3 linked regions of the Drosophila melanogaster genome follow. The protein of the gene in region 3 interacts with the protein of the main gene of each other region in a pairwise test. Each region holds a gene or a part of one and is shown on either strand. Other genes may lie near its edges. The genes, in order: cv-d, Gint3 and CG12116.

The links.
Region 1: the proteins of CG12116 (region 3) and cv-d interact in a two-hybrid assay, tested with the Drosophila melanogaster proteins (one large-scale study listed by BioGRID).
Region 2: the proteins of CG12116 (region 3) and Gint3 interact in a two-hybrid assay, tested with the Drosophila melanogaster proteins (one large-scale study listed by BioGRID).

What each region holds. Positions count from the first base shown.
Region 1 is NT_033777.3:15,849,517-15,857,168, forward strand, and holds the start of cv-d (crossveinless d), read right to left. Parts: upstream 4,066-7,652; 5' UTR 3,793-4,065; coding exon 3,762-3,792; intron 3,412-3,761; coding exon 3,212-3,411; intron 2,462-3,211; coding exon 2,234-2,461; intron 2,173-2,233; coding exon 1,200-2,172; intron 1,146-1,199; coding exon 755-1,145; intron 693-754; coding exon 473-692; intron 416-472; coding exon 184-415; intron 126-183; coding exon 1-125. Other genes in the region: Hmt-1 (heavy metal tolerance factor 1), read right to left, coding at 4,580-5,949, 6,013-6,417, 6,481-6,806, 6,867-7,066, 7,122-7,421.
Region 2 is NT_033778.4:18,656,130-18,664,154, reverse strand, and holds Gint3 (GDI interacting protein 3), read left to right. Parts: upstream 1-2,606; 5' UTR 2,607-3,044; intron 3,045-3,382; exon of another isoform or gene 3,383-3,490; intron 3,491-3,529; 5' UTR 3,530-3,674; coding exon of another isoform or gene 3,675-3,960; intron 3,961-4,030; coding exon of another isoform or gene 4,031-4,110; 5' UTR 4,111-4,115; coding exon 4,116-4,169; intron 4,170-4,224; coding exon 4,225-5,235; intron 5,236-5,298; coding exon 5,299-5,447; intron 5,448-5,506; coding exon 5,507-5,618; 3' UTR 5,619-5,737; downstream 5,738-8,025. Other genes in the region: CG42306 (uncharacterized protein), read left to right, coding at 3,675-3,960, 4,031-4,110.
Region 3 is NC_004354.4:8,466,123-8,472,524, reverse strand, and holds CG12116 (uncharacterized protein), read left to right. Parts: upstream 1-3,512; 5' UTR 3,513-3,770; coding exon 3,771-4,592; 3' UTR 4,593-5,082; downstream 5,083-6,402. Other genes in the region: Cp7Fa (chorion protein a at 7F), read right to left, coding at 1-100, 170-261, 804-1,142, 1,549-1,605; CG33223 (uncharacterized protein), read left to right, coding at 6,213-6,402.

The sequences.
Region 1 (7,652 bases), on a different chromosome or scaffold from region 3:
CAGCAGGACGTCGGAGGAGGTTCCCAGCACCGTGGGCACCGTGTAGCGATTCATGAAAGGCCAACGAACAGTCTGCATGTTTATGTGACTGTCTGTCCGAATGATTTGCTGCATTCTTTCCAGAACTGTGGAAAACGGGCATGAACCGCACATGGCTGATGGTCAAGAGGTCAATGTACTCACTGTTGTCGTAGGTCAGCTGCCGGAACATCCGCTGGTTGAGGTAGTACGACAGCACCGTCTTGCCCTCCATTTGCAGGATGAACTCCAGATGCAGGTCCTTCGAGTTGATGATCGGAGCCTGCAGCATGGCCAATAGAGCCTTGATGCTCTTAAAGGTAAAAGGATCGCTGCCATTTCGCGATTGCATCTTGTTCAGGATGGTATCTGGCAGCCCACGTGCCTTGATGTATAGCTGGAAGAAGTAGAGATGGCTTATTTGATTCTTGAAACACCGAGAGGTTGTACTTACCGCCAGTTGTCCTGTGAATTTGCCTAGAGCTTCGGTGTCGAATTTGAAGAAGGCCACCACTGGCATGTCCGACTTTGGATCGCCCACGAGGAATACCTGAAGCATTGCACCGATGCCGAACTTGGAGTCGCGATAGTCAAAGATGTAGTTACCGGTGACCCAGTAGCGTGACTCGGGCTTCTGGGGCAGATGACGATGCATGTAGGACAACAGACGGCGTCTAAATGAAGGATATACGACATCTGTGGATGGCTGTGAATTAGGCTGAGTTAGATGACTTACAGGTGCTGATAGCAGGGATATGTTGTCTCCGAGATGCTCGTCACCGTCGTCCGGTAGTAGTTAATCATGTGAGGGTCCGTCTCGCTCTGAATGATGCGATGGATGCTGATGAGACGGGCGGCCGTGGGGTTGGAAATCAATAGCAGCGTAACCGCTGCCACACGAAGTTCTAGGCTGGCATTTCGGGACTCAAAGATTGGCCAGTAGACCTCGTATATGCGCTCCGCTCGACGATCGGCCAGTGCCAGGGTCGTCCAGGCGGCCTGGAACTTCAGATCCTCGTGCTCGTTGGGGTCCTGAACAATGGGCTCCAGATAGTTGGCCACGTTCCCCAATTGCAAGTTGTTTAGACCCTGCAGATACAACATCTTCTGGTCGAAGTCGCGATCGCCTGCGATGAATGATATTAGTTTATATGGAACTCATGGTTATTTGGAACACTTACTTAGATAGGCATTAAAGTACTTCTGGACATACTCCTCAAACTTTTCCTTATCGATGCCCTTGGCCACATAGACATTATGGATGAGCGTGGCAAAGCTAAGGATAGCGGCCTGCCGCACATCCGGGCGATCGGGTCCGATATTGAGGAAGTCCTCGCACTTTTGCACCAACTCCGCCGAGAGCTCGAAGATGTGGAATGGCATGGGTATGAGCAGTTGCACAGCGATTTGCGGCTTAGTCAATTTGTTGAGCACCAGGTGGTGGGTCAGAAAAACGGATGCTTTAGTTCCAATGCGGGGAATGATTTCATGAAAGATGTTGCGAATGGTCTCCTGGCGATAGGAGGTGCCAATGTCCACCTCCCGATAGAGTTTAGTGAGCGAATCAAAGTCCATCTCGCTGAGAAGCTTGATCACGTCGGAGAGAGTGGAGTCGTAGGGCTCCGAGAACTTGAATTCCGTTGTCTCTAGTGCTTCGGCCAGACTGTCTAAGAGCGTCCCCGCCTGGGCAATCAGCGTCTCCTGCTGCTGAGGGCTACGACCTCCAGTGGGATCGTTGGGATCCAGCCGCTGCAGCTCCAGGTTGGATGGCTCTGCTGCCATTGAGGTTTCAATATCGATGGGATTGTCGATGGGCGTCTCGTTAAGGAAATTGAGCAGCAACTCCGAGTTAATGAATTGTGCTTCTCCCGTGGATTCGAACGTGTGGATCAGGGTTGTGCCCTTGGCATGGGCCATGCTCAGATAGTAACCCGTTTCGTTGTGCGGTGACATCCCGTAGATGGCCTCATTGCCAATGATCACACTCTTCTGGTGATCGAATTCGCACGTATTGGGCGGCACGTTGCTGCGTGTAGTGTGAACCGCCTCCGAGTACGGCTTGCAGGTCTTGACCTCCGGCGTTTTGCGGATGGAGATGTAGTTTGTCCTGTTGGACACAAAGTACTCCGTGCGGCAAGTGCCGTGAATACCCAGCTACCAGTAAAAATAATAAAGTTTAAATTAGGAATTATGTATATCGGATGGTATAACTTACCTCATCCACGACGAAGGCCCCGCTGGACTTCATCTGGAACTGCAGCACCGATGCGATGGCCCGCTTGAAGTTCATGCTCCATATGGGATCGCCTTCCTTGAAGACCACATGTGAGATGGCGCCATCCTTGGTGAGAGCGATCTTGAAGGGCTTGTAGGGCGGGTACATCTCCTTGTTCTGCAGGAACTTCTCGCCGGAGTTGTTCAGCGTTACATCGTCTATGACCAGCTGTCGGGTAGAGAGCGAGCGAGAGAGAGAGAGAGCAGAGCAGAGCAGACGATTAGCCGGGAAAGCCCTGCAATAATGCTGTAATCTTCTATCGACCAGGGTCGAGCCCAACTGAACCGGCTGATAAGACGCGCCGAGACGCCGTTTATCTGGCCAGCAGAAATTAGTCAGATCGGCGCTCTCATATGGCGTACATGCACCATACCATGCCCAGGCGCAGGTCCAGATGCCTGATCACTGATAAGCGAGGGACTCTCTACTCCTAGAGAGTCACTCTCAGTCAAAACAATCAGAGCTGATTAACAAAAGGGAATGGCATTATCTGTGGGGGCTCAATGAAAGAAGTTCACAACCGAGTTCAGTTTATTGTGGCGAATCCGCTCCGATCTTTTCCAGAGTCGCTACCGCTCAGTGAATGGTTAAATTGTCTTTAATTCATCTGCGAATTCTTCTTCGTCTGCGGAGGCTGACAAGAAGTCGCGCTGCAGATGGTGATGGGGAATGGGAAGTGGAATATGGGAATGGGGGCTATAGAATGCGCCGATTGGATCGTATAAATTGATAATGAAATCAATAAATTGATTTGATTTTTCACCGATTTCCAATTGATATACACATTCTTCTACATACAAGAAGTATGAGTAAATACTAGTATGGATCGATTTGTATAAACAAAAATAATATTGAGAAACGCTTGCCGGAGATCAACTGAAACATCTCCGAAACTGGAACTGATCCTAGACAACTTACCGCCGCAGCCAAGACCAGCTCGCTTTGCCGCTGGAGCGTCAGCTTGCCCCGCACAATCCATCCGGTGGTGGGTGGCGCCTGGTGGCCCTCGTCCTGGGGCTTTGCACCCACCAGGACATTGCCCTCGTACTCGTAGAGCATCTGTTTGTTGAGGCCAATGATGCTGAAGGCATGGCCGGCATCGAAGATCAGGAACAGATCTGCCGGATAAATAGATAAATGGGAAATTGAACTTCAATTCGATGGATGCTCCTCCCATCCGCTCGTGTTCATCCATCCCTCCCGCCATCTATGTCGCATTCGCGCGGACGGGCAATAAACTCTTCAATTATCAATTGAATTTCTTATATATATATATATATAGATATATACTAAATGTGCATGTGTATATATAATATATATAAACATATTTGAATGATCGCAAAACGCTTTAATCAATGTTGCTTCTAGGTTTCTTTTTGATGCGCGCCTCGTCAATGAATAATTACGTCATATTCTTTTATTAGTTTCTGATACAGTTGGGATTATCAACTAGGTTACTCTCACGTACACACAAACACGGAACACTTGAGTAGCCTCATGGCCTGCTACTTGCTACTAGCTACTTCCTTCCGAGGTCGTGGCACTCGCTTTTCCACAGATCTTCCGACGCTTTTCACTTCGCGCACAGATTTCTCAATGTAGTATCAGTGAATATATGTATATATATTATATATAATATATATATCAACGCGACTGTATATTATCAGATTTTTCAAAGAAGCCGACGCTTTTCCTCCTTTATCGCCAACGCGTCTAATTCCCGGATCACAGCTCGACACGTCCGCTCTGTTCGCGATCCAAGCTCAAACTGAGCGGACATAACAGCCGGATGGTTGGCCTTGCTGGAGGTTTCGTTGATAAGAATCATGCTGCGAAGAGCAGCTTGGCAGCTGGGCTCTCTTACGATCTCTTGGGAAATGTCCTATAAATAGATTTTTGCCGCGTCCACTGGAACAACGTCTTACGGACCAGAAAACGGATTCTCAAATCTGATACATTCTGTTTAGAGGATTTTAAGATATCTTGCATAACATTATCTTACAATATTCCCAAGGACAATTTCGTATCCCTTCAAGACTTAATAATTTAATAAGGACTAGAAATACACAATATTGCGCTATTTATTTGGTACCAGACACATTTAAATTATATTAAATCTCGCGGATTGTCTATAAAAATCTACGTTATTTATTAGTATAAGAGTAGCATATAAGGTTACTTATAGACGAACTAAGACTTTGACGAGCTGCTCTCATACGTATAACAATACACCACAAATCACATGGAATCAGGAATATCAGAAACTACTCTGTATGTCACTTAAGGCTAGCGTGCTCCCCCATGAGCATGTCCTGCCCTGAAGTGGGCACCACCCGTTCCAGTACCACTTGGTCCTCCTGCTCCTCCTGCCCTGCGTTTCTCCGATCCCGATTCTGCACTAGCGTCTCCGTTATCAGAACCACCACTCTGTTCTGCATCTAGATTCTTGAGTTGCTGTTGCCACATGTCCGCGTAGATGCCATCTTCGCGCAGCACAAGCTCTTCGTGTCGCCCACGCTCCGCTATGCTTCCCTGCTGCAGGACCAGAATCTCGTCCGCATGGATGATGGTGGAAAGACGATGGGCAACAATGATGGTGGTACGATTTGCGCACACCCTGGCCAAAGCAGCCTGAATATTGCGTTCTGTGTGGGTGTCCAAAGCTGAGGTGGCTTCATCCAGGAGCACAATAATGGGCGCCTTAAGAAGCGTTCTGGCGATGGCTACGCGTTGCTTTTCACCTCCACTGAGCCGCAGACCTCGTTCGCCCACCTTTGTCTCATATTTCTCCGGAAAGCCGAGAATCCTTTCGTGAATGTCGGCGGCGCGAGCAGCCTCATAGACAGCTTCGTCCGAAGCGCCCAACTTGGCATATTCAATGTTGTAGAAGATGGTGTTGTTAAAGAGAACCGTATCCTGGGGCACCACTCCAATGGCCTTTCGCAGACTCTGCTGCTGCACAAGCTTGATGTTTTGTCCGTCAATCAGGATAGCACCAGTCTGCACATCGTAAAAGCGGAAAAGCAGCCGCATGATGGTGCTCTTACCGGCTCCAGAGGGTCCAACAATCGCTACCGTCTTACCGGCCGGAACTGTGAAGCTCACATTGCGCAGCACTATCTTCTCCGGTGAATAGCCAAAGGTCACGTTTGAGAACTCAATGCCACCGCCGGCAGTTAGAAGGGGCGAACAGCCTGGGGCATCCACAATCTCTTCCTCCTCTTTCAGCAGATCGAACATGTTCTCCATGTCCACGAAGTTCTTCTGTATGGCTCGGTAATAGGTGCCGAACCAATTCAGTGGCATGTACAATTCCATCAGATAGGTGGAGAAGAGCACAAAATCGCCCACGGTGAGGGTTTGATGGTGAACTACCAAGTATACACAGAGCAGCGATCCGGCCAGTAGGCCCAAGCACAAAATAATATTCTGGGCTGTGTTCAGCATGTTGAGTGTCAGCATTGAGAGGAACTCTTCCTTTTGGTACTTGAGAATGGCCTCCCTGTAGCAATCCACCTCGTAGTGCTCCGCTCCGTAGTACTTGACTGTTTCGAAATTGAGAAGGGAGTCCACGCTGCGAGCTCGCTGCTCATTGTCCGCCAGGTTCATTCTCCTCTGGTACTTGGTTCTCCATTCAGTGATTGCAATGGTAGAGGCTGTAAAACGGAAGGATATTTTGAAATACGAATGGAATTAATCGAATAATTTTTATCACTTACCTATATACAGGAACATGGTGAGGAAGACGATTAGGCCAAACCACCAATTGAAGGCGTAAACAAAGTATGCCACGGCAACGAGTAGATCGAGAATGGTTGGTGCGATCGAGAAGACAATATAGTTGAGGAGGTTGTTGATCGAGTCCGTGCCGCGATCCATGACACGCAACACCTCTCCCGTTTTGCGTTGCAAGTGCCATCTAAGCGAAAGCTGGTGCAGATGCCGGAACAGCTCAATCTCGATCTCCCGGGTCGTGTACTGTTGAACCCGTATCCAGAGGAAGGTGCGAAGGTTATTAAATAATCCCATGCTACCAGTGCCGCCACCCTGGAGGAAGGACAATGCCACATAGATCAGCACAAAGTCCCAGCGAAAGACGATCGGTGCAATGGTAAGACTGTCAACTGTCGAAACAGGAGATTAGCAATGAATTACTTAACGAATTACGTTCATAATTCTTGACCTACCCAACTTCTTGCGATAAATCGGCAAAAACAGCTTTATGACTCGACCGGCAAGCAGCAGTATAATGCAAACGATGACGGCTATCTGCAGAGCAATATTCTTTTTAGGCCAGAGGTACGGAAAGACGGTGCGCAGCTTGCGCCATCCGTTCCTGAAAGCAGATCCTGTCTGCACGTTTCCCTGCGATTCGTTGGCGGTATCATTGTCCAGCCGCTGATGTGGATTGTACGGGGCCATGATGCCAGGAGCTTTCAGACCCAAAACGAAGATGAGCAGGGAGCACAGGAACCGGGTGACAAACAAGCCCATCTCAATTTGATCCTTGTTCCTGCGAGTAGTAAAGGCGGTACTATAGATTATCCGTTTTACAGCCGTTTGCATTACTTACGTTTTTAGGTGGAACCACCAGTCCTCGTGGCGCAAATTTATGAAGGCCAGCGACTCGTTAATGAAAGCCAACGTCCAGAATAGCAATAGAACAAGTCCATGTCCTCGGGTGGGCATTGAGGGCAGCTGGTAGTAGCGCTCCTTGAGTATCAAACAGATGCTGAACGGGTAGGAGAAGCACACAACGCAAGTGGAGAAGATCTGCAGAAAAGATTTCGATCAGTAATTGTTTCTTCTTGATCATTTTCATACTTACCATATAGCCGTACACCGCACTATCTGGATAAATACGTGCATTCATCAGAAACCGCAATAGAGCCAAAACCGGGAGCAGGAGCAACAGAAAGAGTTGCATCGCGAACAGTCGTGACTTGGAGATTTGCGTGGGATCCGTAATCCTGGTGGCATACTTCCGGTACATCAGCAACTGAATGCTGCCGAAGAGCAGAAGGAATCCACCGTATACCGCCGGTCCCACGGTGTCCATGAAGCAATGCGAGATGCCATGCTGCGTCCACACCTCGCTGAGGGTCACGTTGGGCGGGCAGTACAGCATGGTGAAGTCGGTGTACCTGCGCGGCGACGAGGAAAGGCAATTGCGGAACGATAAGCTCTGATAGAAACGTGCCAGATAAAGTGGAGCTGTCACTGGGAAACAGCTCGGTGAACACAATTGCTTTGTTTTATGGGCTGGCGGCAATTTCGCAATTATTCACCCAAATTATCAGACGCCCCCAAAGGGGAAATCACTATTTTTTTCCTCCGGGTAAGCGGAGTGCAGATTGTG
Region 2 (8,025 bases), on a different chromosome or scaffold from region 3:
TTGGGCGACTTATTGGACACCATTTAGAGTTTTAAACAAAAAAAAAAAAACAAAAAAATGAAAATACCCGCGTGGTGGAAAGTCTCGAGATATTTCAGAGCTTCAGGCGGTCCACAGCGGGAAAGTCAATTTTATTAAAAAATGGATAATTAGTAGATTTAGAATTCAGACATGGAAGAATCAAACTGAGTTGGCGAATTGCAGGGGGCCAAATTCTTGCCGCTCACATTGGCGACTTCCGGCCGCATTAGATGAATTATTAACATTTTTTGTTTCAGCGAATCCGAAGAACACTTGAAGTTCAGCGGATTGTATTTCAGCCTTTTTTTTCTTCGTTTTGCTGCTCTTTCTTATTTTTTTTTTTTGGCGGGGGGGCTTCTCTGGATTCATTCATTCTCACTCCCACGCTCATGGGAGCTGGAAAAGCTGTGTGTGAATGGTTATTTGAGGGAAATGCCCAAAGACAAAAGTCTCAGGGCAGCCGAAGAAACTGTCATTGCCAGCAGAAACCCACACAACAAAGAGATACTTGGTATCTTAAACTGGATGGATAGATGGGAGAATGTTATGCATAGAGACCAGAAGACCACCAGAAGAAGTTCATGGGAACGAACTTCGTGGCCCCTGTAAGTCAAGTGTGAAGTGGTGGACCCAGGGGAATTCGGTTACTTTGGTGGAGGGGCAAACCGCTCCGCGTTGCAGCAAGTGCATTCATCTAATAGATACGAGTGCGAGCCATGAATACGACAATTAATGTCATCCACCATTCATGATTTGCTCCTTCTGCAAACGGCAATCAAGATGAGAACAGCGCTTTGCACATGGAGGAAATATAAGTAATGATTGAGCCAAATTATATGGTTAATTAAATTATATCGATAATACATTTTATCATTGATTTTTTCATATATATGAGCAATGAAGATGTTTTTCTCCCTGTGTAGCCTGTAAACTCCGCGTCTCCTGCACTTCCCATCCAATTGCTTGCTTATGCAAGGCAACGTGACTGTGTGGGCGTGTCATCACTTTCAATTTTGCGGCCAATTTGAGTGACACTTTCTGCCTGTTTGTCACGCCGCTTGCGTAGCCAAAGATTGTGCCACAAAGGGATGGGCAGTGGGGAGTGGTGTTTGGCATGAGGCACGGAGCCACCAAGGAGGACCATCATCATCATCAGGAGGCCTAGAGAAGCAGCGACTTTGTGTGTCTGCTCGTCGTCTGCGGCGCTTCCGTTTCCTGTGCATAAATTTTAATGAGCGAGCCAGATTCCCCGCCTTCAACTCCACCGACTCGGCTGGCCGCCCAATCAAGACACTATCAATGCGAGATAAGAAAATAAATAATATTTTTAAAACAAAAAAAAAACAACCGTCAGTGGGAAAGGAAACCCTTGGCTGTGTCCAGTGTCTCTTACCTTGACTTTCGCGCAGCGAGCACAAAGTCACGGCTATGTTGGCCATAAATTGGCACAACCAGTTTTGGGCCACGGGTGAAAACAAAAGAAAAGCCAAGGCATTGGCCAAATGGTTGCTGCTTTTACTGGCTTTCCCAACCGTGAAATTCGTGCAAGAGGAGTACAGGTGCGTCAGACTGATCGACAGGTGGAGTATCTTTCAGATACATTCATAATACAAGTACTGCATATCAGTAGAAAGTCAGCATACTTACGTCGCAATATAAACTCCAACATTTAACTTAAGAACTTCAAAATATGACATATTCGAGCTGTGAATATAATTGGTTATATAGTTATGAAATCATTGAATCTATTCTTTTGGTAGCTTTATATTTTCCTGTATTCCAGCATACCCCTCCATTGCTGGGAGCCCAGTTTTCTTCTCTCTCCTTCGCAGACTTGGCCACACACAACTCGACGTCTTCAGCTGGCGATTGGAACTAGTTTTTCAGGTTCGGCGCATGGCGGCTGATAACAACAATTGCAATGCGAATGACGCCGGACGACGGCGCATGCGCGCCACTCTTGCATTCCTTTCGATGGCTCTGGGTGCGCAGAACTCTCCCCCCAGCCGTCCCTCCCATCCGGGCATTTGTGGAATTTTAATTGCGCAAAACAAAAAACAAAAAAAAAACTGCAATGATGAGGAGTTGGGGACAGGCAACTGCAATTGCAACCGATGCGATGGTGGCTGGAATGGAATGGGATTGGGAATGGCTGGGAATGACGTTGAATGATGGTTAGTTGCAGCCCGGTTGCAAGTGAGAACATATCGCGTGATGGTGATAGATATAATGGCCATGGGACACAGTGCTCTTGTCATGCCAGAAGATGGGGCTGCAGACACGCCTTGGACTCGAGACTCAAATGCGCAGACTGCTGATTGCGATGGCAAACAGAGCCACAGCCAGATTACACATACAGATATAGAAACAGAAAACCAACGGACCAGAGCAGAACGAAGCCGATGGAAGAAAATCTTACACTCTGCTCGAATTATAAGTCGTCGACATTTTGCCTAACTAACAGTCGCCACGGAAAAATGAGCCAGCATAAATAAAGCCAAGCAAGGCGGAGCGGAATAGAATAGACTGTTTGTGTCTGTTGTTGGCTGCTGGCGTAATTGAAGTTGCAGAAAGCCAGAGACGAGCCAAGCAGCCACAAAACCTAAAACCTAAGAGAGAAGCAACACACCGAGATGGGGGCCATCTCCGCATCCACGTAGCCAGTGGAGCGCGAGGCATGGCGCATACGGAAGCCATAGGCTGCAAGAGATTTCTCTTCTTTGGCCTCCGCTCGACTTTCGGCTGGCTGTTGAACCCGCAGCGCATCGCTGGAGCGTGATCTCCCCGCCCCCAGATAGGCATCCCCAATCTCTCACTCTGCTACCTACTTGGCCGAAAAACATACTCAAGGATGCCATCGAAAATCAATCGCAAAATATGCGAAAGGAAGAGAGATGCCCAGGCTCCAATCGCCGAAAATTACAGGAAGCAAAAGCACTTGGCGAAACGATCGAAAATCATTCAATTACGACAGCTGGCCCTGCATATAAAAAATGGGCGTGTGCTCCACAAAATATCATTATGTAAGCACACGGTGAAAAAAGAGCGGTGGGTTTCGAAATTATTTTGAAAGAATCCAAGGTTGCAAATTTGGAATTAAATATACAAATATTTTAGCAAAATTAATAGTTGGTAGCTACTTTTTGAAATTTTATAATCATTTAAATACACAATTTAATATTTTAGCCTATATTAAAAATGTGGAAAATATTCTTAATAACAACGCCATAAATATTGTTCAATTCACTTCTTCAGGAACTGAATAAGGTCAATAGCAGGTGCACACATTAATTACAGGATGCGGGTGCAGAAATCAAGGCAAATCGAATGAGGTCAGAACCCTCAGGGAAATCCATAAATAATTGTTCCCCCCATTCGAAAATTACAATTTAAATTCAAAACAGGCGCCAAAACAAAGCATTTGGAAATTAACCAGCACTGGAGAGCAGCGAAATACTTTTATCGATAAGTAAGCTGTTGACGCATTTTCATTTGGTATTTTTACTAGCCCGTAGGTATTTACACACAGACCAGCAACGGGCACACCAGCAAAGAAAAAAGTGTTGACGAAATTATTATAATGCTGCGAATATAAACAAAGGATTGCGTTGAAAACGTATTAAATACGATCTTTGGCACTTACCAATCAGGCAATGAGTTTCAATTTCTACGTGGAATCGTTCAATTCAACGTTGCAGTCGATTGCGCGACAAGTGGAGCAATTTGCTGGCGTTGCACTGACGGCAGCCGTCGATCTGCGCGGAAATCTGGAATCTTTGACCGGTGACTTTCGTTGGGAAAACGGACCCATTGCCTTCACCGATCTGCAGGCGACACTGCTGAAGGTGCTTATCGTGCTGCTTCTGGGCACCTGCGTACTAGCCGGCTATTCGTGGTCCATTTACGGCAAAGTCATTACGGAGAAGTTTGTCAGGCCAAGTAGGAATATGCTTAAAATCAGGATGTTACGATAAGTTTACTTAAACGAAGGCCACGTCTTGCATTTCAGGCACGCTCAAGGAAATCGAGGAGCTTAAATTGTCGGTGGCCAAGTTGAAGCTGCCCAAGGAACACTCGCCGCGCATCTAGAAACCATGTCCAAGATTAAGAAGTTCTTTTCGCGGAAGAAGGCGGAGGCTGCCTTTAAGGTGGGTTCTTTCTTTAGCCAAGCCATTGGAAATCCCTTACCAAGTTCGTTTACAGCTCAATTTAACTGGCAGCGGCATGGGCACTGGCCACAAGCTGAATTCCCCCAAACAGGAGACTCCTTCAAGTAGTTCCCGCCAAAAGTATGAGGCCTATGTGCCACCAAAGCGAAATGAAATAAGTAACGAGGCCAGGGCAGCTGCCAGTGCGGCACTGGCGCGCATTGACAAGAAAACATCCAGGGAATTCAATACCTCGCTGTCGGCAGTGAAGGCACAGGCTAAAAGAGAGCTGGAGGCAGAGCGTCGCCAGAGAGAGGAAGCCATGGGCACGCCATCAACGACCAGCACATCCACATCGGCTTCCGGCGGCGACACTCGCAACCTGGCCTGCGAAGGCGTCTTCTTCCGCTGCCCCCTAATCAGCGAGGAGATTCTACCCAAGAGCGTGTGGAAGGTTCGCATCAAAGAGTTCCTCTACCAGCAGCTGGAGGCAGATCGCGGCCTCACCGCCTGCCTGATCATCCACAATTGCAATGTTAAGGAGAAGGCCGACGAGTGCATTGCCACGCTAATCCGATATCTGGAGAATCTTATCAAGAATCCCGAGGAGGAGAAGTTCTGCAAGATACGGATGTCCAACAAAATCTTCAGCGAAAAGGTGCGCTACGTGGAGGGTGCCCTGGATGTTCTGCAAGCAGCGGGCTTCAACGAGGTCCAGATCGATGGCGAACCCTTCCTTTTGTGGACCAAGGAGCAGACGGAGAAGGATCTCGACTTGCCCACACTAGTGGAAGCTCTCAAGAGCTCGGAGATTATTCCCCTGGAGCTGGATCGCAACATTAAGGTCCTACTTCCATCGCAGGCATGTCGTGTCGCCCTCCCCGACGAGTTTTATCGCCTGTCGCCGGAGGAGATCAAGAAAGAGCAACAGCTGCGATCCGAGGCCATTGCCCAGTCACAGATGCTGCGGACAAAGGCGATGCGGGAACGCGAGGAGCAGCGCAATTTGCGCATGTATCGATACGCTTTAGTCAGGGTTAAATTTCCCAATGGACTCTTTATACAAGTAAGCCATTCCGCGATGATGTCATCTGAAGTAATTTTATGTAATAAGCCGAATCATTTTCAGGGCACTTTCAATGTGTACGAAAAAATATCCGATGTGTTCGAGTTTGTCCAATCTTGCCTGGCGGACGAAAGCCTGGATTTTAGCTTGGTGTCCAACAGCGATGGCAAACTGGGCGATGAGGACTTGGAAAAGACACTATATGACTGCAAGTGAGTGATGCAATAATGTTTTCTTTAGGTACAACACTACATGATTTCCTTCATTTCAGACTCATTCCGAACACTCTGCTGCTGTTTAGCGCCAATGATACACCCGCTCCTTTGCAAACGGATATAAACTACTTAAAGGAAGACCTTCTAATGCTGGTGCAGGCTATGTAGAAGTGCTTTAACCCATATATTCAGCGGTATTTGTCCCTTATATTATAACAGAGCTGTTGTTATTTATTACTTTCAAATCTATTATTCAAAATCAATTATAAACGCACTTTACACAAAAGAAAATTTCTTTAAATTAATTTGGTTATTTGGCTGTTGCTACTTGTTCGCTTGAAATTTATTTATATTAAAAACTTATTTTTATATATTTGCTTAACTAAATACATACTTTCAAGCCACTGTGCGTCAAACAGCTGTTTGGTATCTTTTTGGCTGCGGTATTTCAGGTGGGCTTTTAAGCTTACCTGCAAACGGTCTTACTTATTGCAAAAATAAACAAAAATTGCAACGCTAGCAAGTGGAAATTGACGAATTATTATTTAACTATGAGCTTAAACTGTGAGCTGTGAGGAATTGTGAAAAGTGCACGAATCGCTGAACTATTTGGTGCTATGTAAATGTTAGTGAGTACGCAAGTCTAGAATCATATGTTTGTACCAAACAATAACAAAGTGCGGCCAATTGCATTTTGACCATAATTCCATTAACAAATGCCTAATTGTTGCTTAGTCACATTAGTTTCGGGGCTCAAAAAGTCATAAATAATGCCATTAATAAGCGGAGCAAATGTTACGCCTGTTTTGGAAGTTTCCCGCACTCTTTTGTGCGGTCAGCGCATCGCGTGGTTCCGCTGAAAACTTGTGGCCCACTGTAATTTCCCAATCCACGCGACTTTTCCTGGCCATTATCGAATTATTAATAGCATGTGGGTGCAATTTGTTGATGCGGACTACTAATTAAGCAGGCAGCTTGATCGTACGGCTGTCACATTTTAGAAACTGCTTGGAACTTAGCTCAATAATCAACCCTCTTTTTAACAATACGATATGAACTTATATGATCAATTTGAATTAATAGTTTAAACACATATTATCAGACTCATTAACTTACAACAAATGTAGCTTATCAATATACCCAACAAAGATACCTTAGAAAGATAAGATTATGCTATATAATAGATATATATGAATCCCCTTTGTTTCCAAAACATTTACACGAAATGAGAAAGTACATATATCGTATATCGTATATCGTGGGAGCCCAAAACTGGAGCATTGATCCTAATCCCAAGCTGGCTTCTTCGCTGCCACTAAACAAACAGTTGCATTTAATGAACCAATTTCGCAGTTGGCCTTTACTGTCTATCACGGCGGCATCGAAAACGGCCAAACTAAAAGTCTGTGGAGGAGTGAGGAGAGGAGTGGGTAGATTAAGGAGTGCTTCGCCCAGGCTCCGGGCACTGGCAATTTGGCGTAAATCTCGCTTGATCTTGGGAAAAGGTAAATAGAAAAGCAGCCAAAATCAAACATTAATGAATCTCTACGGCTCAGGGCTTAAATTAAGCCAAGCAATCGCGCCAAATCGAAACACGCAGCCACGAGAAGCCAAATAAAAAGCAGGCAGAAAGCCAGAGACTGCAAGCCATCGCATAAATTGGCCTGGGCTGGAGCCAAAGATTTCATTGTTGGCCATTGCTTATTATGGCCGGGCAGCGGATCTAGGCCTTCATTAAACGGCCAAAGGCAGCGGCTGCAGTTGCACCGGGAGAAATGTCACCAAAGTTGGTAGGCTACAGTTCTTAAATGATACTCAGTCCAATTAAGTGACCTTTTTTAATGCCTTATCTTTAAGATGTGTATTTAAATAAACCCTTTTGAAACTTTAGCACATCTTGCATACACGGCTTTTTCTCCCTGTGTACAATAGAGCCTTATTTCAACTTTGGTCCGCGAGGCTAGTGCGTGAGATATGCATTATTTATCTAGCGAAATTTTTCTCATTGCTGCAGCGGCAACTTGTTGCAGGCAGACTTCCTGGTTTCTTGGGCCCAGCTGCAGCCACTGCAGCCCAGCCAGGCCAGAAATTCCAAAATGATACGAATAGTTTGTTTCTGTCGGGAGATAGCGAGAAATATGTGGGACATCCTGAGGATCGTTGTCTTCTCTTTTTTTATTTTTTGGGGGGGAGCTGGAGATGGGGATGTGGATAGGGATTACGAGTTAGGGGTTAGCTGTTACCCATTGCCGGGTTGCAACCTGCACGTGCCTCGCCTCGCTGCGCCGCCTGATTGAACGATTGAAAGATCATCACCCGGCGCAAAATATCTGGCTGTACATAATGATGATGATGAGGTGCAAATTGCCGCTGCCATGAAATTGCAAATCAACTCTCCTGACTCCCGATTGCACTTCATTCTAAATTGTTTGCTCAACCCAGCAGCTCAGCCGTTTTGGCACTTCTTTCGCGAATCCTCCGGCGCCGGTGCAAAAATTGCAAATCGAATTTGCCAATTGCCGTGCTGCCTTCGCATCGCTCCACTCTCCGGTTGATTTGTTTTTGTGGTTTGGCC
Region 3 (6,402 bases):
CGGCACATTGATGGCCTTTCCAGCCTGGGCGGCCAGACTCACGCTGATGGGATCCGCAGCTGGACTGTTGTCCACTATCTTCTCTGCGGCATAGTCGATTCTGGAGAAGATCGGTTGTGATTAGATTCTATAATATCGCACGCGGTTAGGATTTTCCTTCTATACTCACTTTCCGTACACGGATCCTGAGCTGGAAGAGGAGGCGTAGCTGCTGTCGGAGCTGATCTGCTGGCACGAACAGGTGGGCTTGCATGGCGTGGTCTGTGTGAATTGATCAAATCGAGAGTTCAGTTTCGGTTCGGATAATCGGTGGATGGTGTATCTAAATGGGTTCTATCGCATGGAGCTTCGCATAGCTCTTGATTTTTAGGAGCACGTACGCGGCGATATATGAGGGCGTTATGCATATATTTGGATGACGATGCTATGTTCTGATCATGGTGACGCAAAATTGGTACGGTGATAATGATGCACGATGCGGAAATCGTAACTGCAGCTGGGGGGGGATGACGTTGGATGAATGCCACTGCCACTGGTTGCTGATTATAGGTGTCGAAACTAATGCTAATGCTTATGATAGGTAACACATATTGTTTAGCTATAAACGTGGAGTAGCATATAAAATATAGTAACTACATCTGAAATATATTGTACAATTGAAAATTGTACATGATATTTTCCAACTCTTTCGTGTATTGCATATGTTTAGTCTGGTGGATAGGGTCACTGGTCACTGGTTATGGTTATGGATGTGCATGTGGATTAGTCATGGATGATTATAGCTGATAGCGATGGCCGGAGGCGCCCCTCTTGAAGCAGTCGATCCGCTCCAGACGCTGCAGCCGTTCGGCCAGACGCTGTGCCGCCAGCGTCTTGGCTTCGATGGCGCCCTCGAGCATCCGACGGCCCAAGAGGTTGTTGAAGGCGTTCATGTATTGGAACAGCTCACGTACTTTTCCGCAGGTCTTGGGCAGTTGGGCGGGTTCGATCAGCTGCTTGCTGCACCAGCAGTTGTCTCCGATCGGCGGCAGGTTAACGTCACTGGGCTCGTAGTATCGGGGCTTCGGCCGGATGACCGTGGATCCCTGACAGCTTTGGCAGTAGTCCGTTCCCTTTTCGGAGCACACGCAGGCCGCCATCAACTGTAGGGGTAGTTAAGGTTAGTTATTAATAATCCTTGTTCTTTGTCGGTTCAGTTCTTTAATATATTTGTTAGATCCAAGTAACACATGGGGTATCATCCCTATCTCCAATTGCAATTTCACACAGTGTTCATTGACCAGCAGCATCCTTTCATCTGTTCAATCCTTTTATATTAACTATTCTTAATTCACGGAAACTTCTTGTATCCCTTTATCCTTTAACCACCCAGTAAACAGTGTTAAAAATCTTTCTAGGAAGCACTCTTAAGCTTTTGTAATCACTGCACACTAAGCAGTGTTGATCAGTTCGTTCGAAAGCTTATCCTTGTTTTTTTTTTAACAAATTCACTTTCTTTCTAATGCACTCCCACTTCGATGGACACTAATCGATTTTTAAGTTTCTTACCAATTGAATGCAGTGCATTCCCATGACCAACGCGAGAAGAAGCTTGCAGGCTAGCATGTTGTAAAGGTTCTTATCGGATCACTGTGTTCTTGGCTCGTCAAAAGTTTGGACTGACTGTGGGAGCGGTCCACACGGCTTATATAACCGTGATAAACCCGAAAACCGCAGATCGCCGAAAGCTGTGCTCATGCATTAGTTTTCCGCAGCTGGGCTGCTCTCGATTTTGATCGAGGTGAATGAAATTTTCACTCTTTCTTCCAGCTAAATGAAATCTTCTAGGGGTCACTTTCCCGCTGAACGACATTGAACGGAGGACAGGGTCAGGTTCAGGTATAGCCTGTGTTCCAAATATGCTTTCCATTAGGTCCACGCCTGCCCACTAAAGCTGCGATGCTACGTGCTTCGGCTTGAAAGCCCCGCGCACTTTTGATAATACCCCTAAATCAACATAAACAGACAGATGTGATGCTATTACCCACTGCCACTGTCCACTGGTGAATTCCAAGAACTTTGGACGATACCATGTGAGTGGCTAACAATGAAGTAGGGGTACACCAACCAAGATGTTCCAGCCATTCAAGACTGGTCATTATCCAACAAGCAAAACAGCAAAGTTATCAAGATTTTGGCATTCATAGGTGCATAGAGGTTTATTTTTGATCTTGGATTTGCAGTTATGTTGCAATATATGAATATATTAATATGTAATTATATATTATAAGAAAAGGGAAGTAGTGCGACTTAGATAATCTGTATACTCTATTTTGCATAGCTATTCCCTCCATCAAATGTGAGCTTATTTGGTTATACTACGATTAGAACTGCGTTCCGTTCCCGATTTCTAAATGGGTCAGCGTCATCTCGAAACGAGAATCCGGGAATCGGCAGCAGACTCCACCGGAATATAATAAGGCCATTAACCTAATTCGAGCTTGTTATTGGCGAAAATATAGTCAAAACAGCAAATTCTGGAAACACTGCCGTCTATCGATAGATCTTGAATATAGATTTTAAAGCACTTCCCTTCCGATCGATAATGTCTATAGAAATATGGAAAAATCACATTTCTAGGCAAAAAAAAAAAAACCCCTATATGACACATTAATATATATGTACCTTACGTTATCTTTAAACATGCGATTTAACGGATGTTTAGTAACGAGAGAGTTCATTAAATTCACACGTGTTACACTACCCATGTAATTCACAGGCATATATTATATGTATTATGTAATTGCAAAAACCATTTGCATTTTATTCGTCTACGAAAGTTCAACGACTGAATGCGATAACCTGTTATGTGATTCGGAAAATAAACATATATACTTAAAATAGGAAAGCAGTTTTAATGGGAAAAAACTATATGAATGGAAATTTATTTAATTTGTTTTGCAAAAAAAAGAAGGGACTTTGCTTAGACAAAACTATAAAATGTACTATTCTACTTTCCACATAATATTGTCCCCATCTGTGCTACACTATTAATTGTTGCCAACTGATTTGTTTACAAAATTCTTTGGTTAATCTCTTGCACTAAAAAGACAACCTTGACTTAGCGCCATATCAAAGGAACTCGATGAACTTCAAGATGACAATCGATCAGGTTTTTGGCTCATGGGAAACAGTGGCAAAGCCAAAAGGGGCTTGAAAAAATTAGCTTATTCTAATATGAAAGTATAAAATGAAATGAAAAGTATAATCTATGTTAAAGCATATAGAGCAATTTGTTTGTTAGGACATTATCTAAACTATGTCTATTTACCAGGACCAGGCCCCCGATGCGTAATATTGGCGCACCACTCCATCAGATTCCAGAGGTTAAATGATGCGCCATGGGTCCGGATTACGGTGCCAAAATCCCAAACATTACAAATGGTTAATGGCACGGCAACAAGACCAGACGCCTGAACCCCGGCTTATCAGTCGATTGGGTTGTATAAAAGCCCCAAGCTGACATCCCCACCAGTCCAGAGCGCTTCTCCATACGGAATCGGAACCTGAGTTGCTCAGTCGAGCATAAATATATATACAATACATATATATGCACATATAGTTGGCCAATCGAAATCGGAATAAAGCTTATCAGTCGAAAACAGAGTCCAGTTGGCAAAGCCCGGAGGAAATAAGGCATCAGTACAGTCGTACAGCTTCAAGTGAAAACAAGTGGAAGATTCTTCAGTTCCCGAAATCCTCAAGTACCCGAAATCCTTTAAATCAAAATAATGGCAGCAAAGAGAATGGATTTAAATAGACGCACCTTTTTGGTGTTGAGCGGCAGCTCAAATCCTTTGGGTCAATCCCTGGCGCTGGAGTTCTGCCGTCGCCTGGCCACTGGATCCCTTGCTTTGATCTTGGATGAGGATCAGGAGCAGCTTCGGGAGCTGGAGAATCATCTCCGGAGCGAACTGAAGACGGAGAACGTTAAGGTGACAATCGGAAAGTTGGACAAAGATCACTCGAATGGTGTGCAGCTAATGGAACAGGCATTGATGGATAATTTCATGGCGGATAAGGACAATCAACGCTTCGAGCGTTCCATAATCCTTCACAACGAGGGAAAGGCGGCCACGCATATGCTCCTGGAACCCCAGAGCGACGACGATTGGAAGGCCTATGTCCAGCAGCAGCTCTATGCTCCGGTGGCGCTCAATCAGACGTGGCTGCAATCGAAGCACTTGGAGCGAGTGGAGAAGCTGGCGGTGAATGTGACCTCATCGCTGATGGTACGTCCATTGGTCCATGCTGGTCTGCTTTGCTCGTGCAAACGGGCCAGGGATATGTACTTCCGCGCCATGGCCGCCGAGGAGTATCGTTTCGGTGTCCATGTGCTCAGCTTCTCGCCCGGTCTGATGGACACCCACGAGGGACAGTGCGATGTGAACGGCAATCGGATCACTCCCGCTGATCTGATAGCCACGAAGCAGTTGCTCCAGCTGCCGAGAATCAAGCCCTGCCAGGCCACACTCAAGCTGATCAACATTCTGGAGGAGATATCCTTTGTCTCCGGTCACGATGTCGACTATTACGACACCTTCGTTTTATGAGTAGCACCGTGGCGGTGGGCTGCGTCCCCGATGGACTCGGTTCTAATCTTGGTTGACGATTTAAATGCTGTACATGACTTGATCGCCTTGGAAATTAATAAAATCTGGCCAATGTCCCAGATTTCAGACCTGCAAGTGCACGAAAATCAAGCACACGAACAGGAAAACGAACGAAAAATTATATTTTTATTTTGGGTGGGTGGGTAGAATTTTAGATTTCTATAGGTTTGCCATTCACAATATTAACATATATTGTTGATTTGCTACTTTCAACTGAATTTGAAATTGAGTCTATTTTTAATTAGAATAGACAGGAATCACCGAAGCACACTCCTTATATTTTACCTATAATATATTTAAAACTGATGTTCAAAAAAAGAGTACTGCAGAATATACTTAGTAATTAGTTACTATTGGTAAATTTGTATGTGCAGGCGTGAGTTTATGAGTCAGCAATGCACAACAGATTAAACAAATATACAGAATATACATATATATATATATATATTTGTTAGCTCAAAACAGAAAATGAGACAGATTGAATAGTCTCAGTGATAAGAAAACCCACACGTGTTCAAATGTATAGAATTTTGTATGTGTGGTGTTGCCGGGTCGAAAATTTTCAAAATTCCCAATAGACTGATTCTTGATCCGGGTTTTCAAAATTATATGTGAAAATTTGGCTACTGAATTTGTAGTTAATAACTAATGAGGTTTTGACAAATCTTTAATCTATACAGTTATAAATGGCTTAGTTCGCCTCATTCTGATTAAATGTATTTATGGTTTTCAATTTTTTTTTTTTTCAGTTTACTTTCAATGAATCAACTGTTTTATATTCAAGGCATACTTTTGGGTATTCCTTATAGAAAAGTAATTTAAAAAGCCATAAGTTGCTCAAAATGTTGCTAAAGCTTTCCTAATCAAATTACAAATGAAATATTGTAAAAAGCAATCAGGAATTATAAATGGAGCTTCCCTACAATGTTGCAAAGATTCTGTAATCAGTTGGATTTTATAGTTTTTCCCTTGGATGCGGGGAATAAACATACAAATTAAATTTAATGACAAATTGAGAGCTTGAACTTTATAACAAAGTTGCAGAGCTTTCGAGAGAAGATTACTCGAGTTAACTCTTTAAGATGCTGACCTTGACATTGACTTTCTAACACATATTATATACATAATATATTAGCTGGGTTACTTTCATAAGGACCATAGGTTTTGATATATATGTATATATATATATATGCAAGCCTTTACGGCAAACTCTGTACGTCCTGTCTTCATTAAGCTGATAGCAGTGAAAGTCGTACTGCTCATCTTCAAGCCATAAATTTTTATTAAATTGAAATAGCTTGCAATATTTTTATACAACATTCTGATAGCTTTACTTGATTTACTTAATGAAATTTGGTAATCCATATAGGGTCACTTAAGGATGCGATGAAATTTTACTCGAACTCCATTCGCATGACAACGACAGTTTTACACAAGGGGTTCCAGAAGCAAACTTCTATCCGAATAAAGCAGACTACACCTAGAGACACAGAGCTTGTGTATAAAATCTAAAATTATCTATATATATATATATATATATATATAAATTCGGGCATCAGGATGCGGAAGGTGCAGGCTTTGGTTCAGACGCGCGACGGCAAGAAGACCGTCTACGAGGTGGATCGCTTAGGAACGGTGGCCAGCCTGAAGGCACGGATCGGGCAAGCCATGTCCGTGCCCATGGGCTTCAGTCGGCTGTCGTACAAGGGTCGCGTGCTATCCAATCAGAGCGTACTGGAGGATTTGGGGC